Drosophila melanogaster: one gene and its partner. The protein of the gene in region 1 interacts with the protein of each later gene in a biochemical or structural test. Each region holds a gene or a part of one and is shown on either strand. Other genes may lie near its edges.

Region 1 (3,126 bases):
CTCCTTTGTTTTTCGCAAAGAGACGGCAGCGTTCAAGCGACGATCCGCCAAACTGCTCACCTACGTCACCAGCTTGTTCTCCTCGAGCTATGTAATGCAATGGTCCAAGTGGATGAATCTGCCATTGGCCTATGCTCCGTGTTTCGATGGTCGCGTTGTTCTGTATCCTTCGGAGCAGAATCTAAAGGACTATCTCAGCTGGCGACAGGCCGATGTGCATGTGAACAACCTGTACAATACCGCCTTTTGGAAACTCGTTTTGGAAAAAGGCCTGACGAACCAGCAAGCCGAGGCGAAACTCCGTGGCACCTTTTCGGCGGACAAAAATGAGCTGCTCTTCCAGGAATTCGGGATAAATTACAACAATCTGCCGGCAATGTACAGAAAGGGAACGATTCTGCTGAGAAAACGCGTGATATTGGGTGAGAAGAGCAGGCAGGCCGTGGTGCCGCTGCACGAGGATCTGATATCTTCGCAGTTCTGGAAGGAACACACCGAAATATTGGGAAAATATGTGCCAGGCACATACGACGCACCACAAACTTTTCCCCGATTGGTGGAGATGCAAATAAATGGCAAGGATGACAATGAGGCGGAGGAGCCACAAAATCTGGCTGGTACCAGCTGATATAATAACGAATAGTCTTGCATTTTTAAAGATTAAAGTTACGATACATCTAAGGAAGTCGTTTCGGAGATTGAGGATGCGGTGCCCAGGCTGCTGGAGTGAAGGACAAACGGATGATCCGTAATGAAGAGTAGCTAATAGTTGAAAGTTCAACTTATGGCATATATTTTAAGATTAAATCTACACTAAGCTCATAGAAAGACTATTTCCTACTAGTAGTCGTCGTCGTCATCGTCATCGTCATCCTCACTTGGCTTGCTGGCAACGGAGCCGTCTGCCAGCGGTGGTCGCTGCACCATTGCTGCCGCTTGCATGCTCATCCACTGCTGCTGCTCCTCGCGCGCCTGCTCCTCGCGTGCCTTGGCGAACAGCTCCTGCTGCTGGCGCAGCAGCTCCTCCTCCGGAATGCCCAGGTTCTCTAGGCGCGTGCTCTGGCGCCTTCGCTTGGCTGCCACCTCCTTGCAGTCGTGCAGAACGGCCTCCGCCTCTTGTTTGTAGTCGTGAAAACCCAAGCGTTCCAACGCCTCCAGGACGTGCTCTGCGTTTATCGTCTTCTTGTTGCGCATGTTGCACACCTCGTTGGCCTCCGAACTGATCAGATGAATGAACTCTGAGCAGCAGTTGAGTATCAGCTCGCGACTCTCGTTGGCCACCCGCACCGTGGGCACCAGCTCCTTGATGATCTTGTTGATGCTGGCCCGTGGCAGGGTCAGCTCGTCGTCCTCGGCGCTGGGCGGCAGTAGTTCTTCCTGCGGATTCGACATGGCGTCCTGGTTTCAAGGAACAAACAAACAAACAAACTTGGAAGCAGATGTTTTTCTCGGATTTACTAGTATAGTGTGCTAGAGTGGCCGTTTACTGCTAACAGAAAAATGTAATCGAAAAATTATTGTTTTTGTAAATAAATGAAATCATTAATTGATTGAAATGAACTATATAAAGCATATATAGCTAAAAATAAAATATATAAATGATGATATAAAATGATGTATATCATTTATGTATTCAACACAAATTTAATGGCTTAATAATCTTTGATTAATTTGATTTTGATGAATATTATAAATAATACAGCCTTTTTTTAAATGGCAGACTTTTCAAATAAAAGAATAATTTTTTTATAATTCCTACCATTATTTATATAAATAGTTTTTTTTTTTTTATTTGAAAAACCAAATGTACTGTTCTTTTTAAAACTCCACTCTTCGTTTAGTATATTTTTAAGTGTTTAGTATTTTTTTAAGTGTACTTAAGCGGCTAAGCAACGGTCACTTTGAGAAATAGAAAACAAAAAGTTGAGCTGTTTAAATTCCGGCTTATTATTAATATATTACCACAAAATGGGGGACTACGATTCCGATGATGAAAAATCACAGGTGGAGAAGCTGCGCCACGCCAAAGTGCCGCGCGGAATGTTCGTGAGCGGCTGGGACGACGATGCCGACGAACTGATCGAAGAGGACAAGAACCCACAAAGTAAGTAGAATACATTTTAGAGAAATAGTTTAATTAAACATCATCATAGGCAGCATTGAACGCATGATTCTGTGGGCGGTGAACGAGAACCGCATCAGCGAGGTGCGGGAAATCCTAAAACTGGACGCAGACACCGTGAACGCCAAGGATAACGACGGATACACGCCGCTGCACCGAGCTGCCTATAATAACTTTGTGGATATGGCCAAGTTGCTGCTGCAGTACCATGCCAATCCCAACGCCCGCACGGAGCTGGGATGGACGCCATTGCACTCCGCCTGCAAGTGGAACAATGCGGATTGCGCCCATTTGCTGCTGCAGTTTGGCGCCGATGTAAATGCGGAATCGGACGGCAAGCAGACGCCGCTTCACATAACCGCCACTGTGTCCAATTGTCGGAATACGGCCACGGTCCTTCTGCTGGACCGATACATCCAGCCGCGCAAGGAGAACAACTCCGAGGAACTGGCCTCGGTGATTGCCCGTCGTACTGGCATGAGTTTTCCCATTTTCGAGTCCGGCGAGGAAGCCTACGACTGCGAAACGGGACTGATAGATTAATCACTTAATAGTCAAACTATGCGCATACTTATAGAATAACTAATATAATATGTTTATTTCATAAATAATGTTTTCTGTCGATGGAATTGGTAGACACCACGATTTTCAGCTGGCTGGCGCTGGAGCCCTCACGAAATGCTCGTAGAATGACTTAGTGTAGTTGATCATCTCGTCCTGCATGGCGGCGGGCACAAAATACGGATTGCCCTGGCCACCCTCGATGGTTCCCCTCGCCGTGTAACGCATGTAGCTGGACACGGTAGTTTCTGGCGGCAGGACAGCCCCATCCTCAATTACACAGCAGTCTTTCAAAACACAGCGACGGCCCTGAAAGATGGTAAAAGTAAATGGATTACAAGGGTATAACAATAAGTAATAGCTTACTATGATGGCATTCTTGCCGATGTACACATAGGATCCAATGGTGGCCGCCGAGACGACTGCTCCTTCGCCAACGAAAA
Region 2 (3,816 bases), on another chromosome or scaffold:
GTGCTCAGATTTTAACAGCAGGTATATAGTTAGTATCACGAAGAAGCTTGAGAAGCAATCGCCGCTTCCACGTGTGGATATTACAGCCGTCAGCGGGTTGTATAACCAAAAGCAAGCAGAGGCGCGGGCCAAGTTCTCTGGATGACTTCGCTCATCCAGGGCATCCAGCGATTGGTCCGAGTCCCGTGGCCTGTTGAACTTGCTAAGCAGGTGTTGTACGGTCTTCTGGTACTGACTCTTGATTTCCATGTGCACCAGACGGTAAATAAGTGTGGCGATGAGAAGATCGAATGTCGCATACAGTAGTTTACCCCACGCCGGATGAAGCAGGATGTTAAAAGTCTGCAGATATGCCATGATTGGGCTATATCGGTAAGTATGCCTGGCGAAGGGTGTGTCCCCAGCCAGAACTTGACGGGCTCCATCAGTCACCACCTTGTAGTCTATATCGGTGTAGGGCACGGCGGACTGACTGTCGTGTAATTGTCCGTAGCAAATTAAAGCTATTCGCAGCAGGGCGGATATTAGTAGATGGGTCCGAAAGCTAGTGTAAAGGATGCGGCGACCCAGTCGCTGCCATCCAGTGGTCGCAGCCTTTGTTTGAGTCATCGTGTTTATTGTTTACGTTTGTCTAAAGCTTGGTCTTCATTTCCAAAGCGGTCTTGCGGATACAGCTTAGGAACTCCTTGAACTCGGTGTCGCAGATTTTGTGCTGCACGTTTAGATCACGCGACACGCAAACCGCATACGCAGTGGCTTTGTCCGCGCACTTGCTTAGCAGAACTGGATAGTTGCGGATTCTTTGGTTGGCTTTGCGCACCGATTCCATGCCTTAGCTTAGCGCTTGTGAGGCGGAACTTTGTTCTCCGGCGGTGGTAGGGGATCGGCGATAAAGCAGTCAAACAGGGGCTTGGAGAAGAAGATCAGAAGTGAGCCTGTGATGAAGGAGATCTGGAACAGGCGTGGATTTCGCTGAATCCACGTGCGTTTGGGTAGCACAGCGGTTCGCCTGCGCTGATTTGCTTGCTGTTGCTCCTTTTGGTCCAGCAAGTCTTGAATTTCCTTCGGAGGCCTATACTGCGGTATGGACATTATTTGTTCCTGCAAAACGAGTTGATAATAGTGTATATGGAATAGAGAAGTTGGCTACAACTCACGACTTGCCGGTTGCGTTCTTTTCCTTGGATGCGTCTGGTAGATAAGTCTTCTCCAAATCGATTCCACTGCAGCAAAGCGATTCCTTGTGCCACTTTAAACAGCACTGGCGCATTGCCTCAAGGACATCCAAGCACTTGTCCTCCTGGTAGTGATTCTCTGTAACCGAGTGCAAGTCAGCTTACATAACCATGAAAATGGAGTCACCGGCGGTGCTTACTGGTCAGACAGGCTTGTATGCGGCAGGCGTTCGGTTTGCAGGGATCCTTGCGAGTGTCAGACATGTAATCCTGCCCAGAATTCTTACGATATTAAATCGCTCTTGCAATATGTGAAAAGTACTTGGAAGTGTTCTGCACTCTTCTTCTTCTTGGCGGTTGTAGTCATTCACAGTGCACGATCAAGGTAGCCAGACTGCGCGACGGTCAGCTGTGTAGGAAACCTAATACATCAAAGCAAAATAAAAAACAATCACATAAATAACAACAAAAAGAAATAACATCTCTTATAATGTACAAAAATTTTTAATCTTTCAAATTTTGATATTAATACCTTTTGCTTCCCTGTGAATACCCCGCCTGCTGCGAGAGCAACTGCCATTCACCCATCGACGCCGACAGTTGGGCACCAAGGAACTGTTCTTGTGTGAAAAACACACACACATTTGTTTTATTTCACTAGGACTCTTGACGATTACTTCACAAATCGGAAAATGCCATCGAAAAAGAAAAAATACAACGCACGCTTTCCGGCGGTAAGTTGAAACCACCGATTGGCGACAGGAAAGCTCCAGCCATTTGGCGGCCGTGAACGCCGAAGATGGGTTATCAGTTTTCGTGCATGTGTACATACATATGTACATACACGCCTCGCATAATCAGAGGCTCAAAAGAAGTAGAGGAGAAACCAAACCGGTGCGAGATTATAATGTTTCCAAACCATTACCATAAACTCCTTGCAGGGTCGCATCAAGAAGATCATGCAAAGCGACGAGGAAATCGGGAAGGTGGCCCAGGCGGTGCCTGTTATCATCTCACGCACGCTGGAGCTCTTCGTGGAGTCGCTGCTGACCAAGACGCTGCGCATCACGAATGCGCGCAACGCCAAGACGCTATCGCCATCGCACATGAGGCAGTGTATCGTATCCGAGAAACGCTTTGACTTCCTCAAGGAGCTGGTCCGCAACATACCCGACATCAGTGTGGCCGAGGAGGCCGCCTACAACGAGGACGATGTGTTACGCAGCTCGCCAGAGGAACAGTATCCAGATTCAGACACGCCATATGATCTTAGCCTGCCATCGACGTCAATGCGCTCGCAGGCGAACGGCACAGCTGCCTACATGCGCTCCATGAGTCTGAACAACGGAGCCGGATCGGGCGGAGGAGCCGCAGCCACCAAGCGGCAGTTTCAGTCGCAGCACTCCACCCAGGAAACTCCCACCACCAGCACCACCCTGCCCGCCAAGCTGGCCCGCTCCGGGTCCATGCCGGCCTACACGCCACGGGGCAGACCGCCCAATCACCTCAAGAAACAGTCGGTGCAGCTCGATACTGCCATACCCGCCCCGATCTGCAACTACGAACTCAACAAGCCCATTGTCAAGATCGACTACAGCCACGTGCAAATGCCGACGGCGAACCTGTGCACACCGGACGCCTCTGATTCTGGGTCAGGATCGGGCGCCGGATCTGGAGCTTTTAACTTCGACATAGCTGCTCCGGTGATCAATATCGATCTGACGAATATCGTGGCCGGTGGAGCACCTGGCAGTGGTGTGCCCCCCGCCTCTATTGGATTACCAGCGGCCACGCCGGGGGACAACAATAATGTGAACCAAATGGCTGGAAAGAGCAGCGCTCCCATCATTCCAAAGGCCACAGCGGCATCAGCGACCCCCACTGAAACCGTTTTCGAATTAGACGAAGACTATGACAATATTTGATTAGGATCTATGTGAATGCGCTTTTAAATTATTGATACATTAATATGTACTCTAGGTCTAAGAAATCACAATAACATTTTTTGCAAAATAAAGACCATGCTGGATTTTAAGCTGACGCAATGCGGAGTACTTTAAATAGAGAAAGAAAATTTATACATTCTAGCAGATAATGCTGTTTAATTTGCATACGATATTAAATCAGTTTATCTTTGAATTAGATGTACTAAACAAGTTCAACAATTATTGAAAATGTTTGCATTCATAGACACCATAAAAAAGCCGCCTCTGGGCGGCCGAAAGTCATTTATGCCCATCCCAGAGGCCAAGTTAGTTGACGATGTCGTCAGCTACATCGCCAAGCCAGAGTTCTATTCGACTGTTCCAGCGGCATTGAAGATGCAACGCCTTTTCTATGTGCAATACAGCGAACTGGCTGCCAAGTTGGAGACTGACCTCACAGCAGTGTTAACCCGTTTGGAGGCTGCCAAAAATAATTTGGAATTGGTGAGGAGGTTCATAGACAATCCTGACAAGGAAGTTCACAGCCTCGTGCAAATCGCACAGGGAGTATTCAGATGGGTGAGCATACCGCCAGTGCAAAAGGTTACCCTTCAAGTGGGCGCATCTCTGCAAATGGAATTCGAGCTGTCCGAGGCGGAGGAGTTCATCAAAAAGGACATCACCAGCCTGGTGAAGCAGCAATTGCAACATGAGCA

Evidence for each region.
Region 2: the proteins of NC2beta (region 1) and NC2alpha form a complex in vitro, tested with the Drosophila melanogaster proteins (one study listed by BioGRID).

What each region holds. Positions count from the first base shown.
Region 1 is NT_033779.5:15,006,184-15,009,309, reverse strand, and holds NC2beta (negative cofactor 2beta), read right to left. Parts: upstream 1,498-3,126; 5' UTR 1,393-1,497; coding exon 841-1,392; 3' UTR 772-840; downstream 1-771. Other genes in the region: THG (tRNA-histidine guanylyltransferase), read left to right, coding at 1-628; Ankrd49, read left to right, coding at 1,969-2,104, 2,154-2,665; DCTN5-p25 (dynactin 5, p25 subunit), read right to left, coding at 2,771-2,992, 3,050-3,126. UniProt on the Drosophila melanogaster protein: Bifunctional basic transcription factor. Activates transcription of DPE (Downstream Promoter Element) containing promoters while repressing transcription of promoters which contain TATA elements.
Region 2 is NT_033778.4:21,668,380-21,672,195, forward strand, and holds NC2alpha (negative cofactor 2alpha), read left to right. Parts: upstream 1-1,772; 5' UTR 1,773-1,867; coding exon 1,868-1,909; intron 1,910-2,116; coding exon 2,117-3,100; 3' UTR 3,101-3,214; downstream 3,215-3,816. Other genes in the region: PIG-M (phosphatidylinositol glycan anchor biosynthesis class M), read right to left, coding at 1-609; CG42380 (uncharacterized protein), read right to left, coding at 632-829; CG42379 (uncharacterized protein), read right to left, coding at 838-1,092; CG42381 (uncharacterized protein), read right to left, coding at 1,092-1,101, 1,158-1,314, 1,376-1,439; CG15676 (uncharacterized protein), read left to right, coding at 3,350-3,816.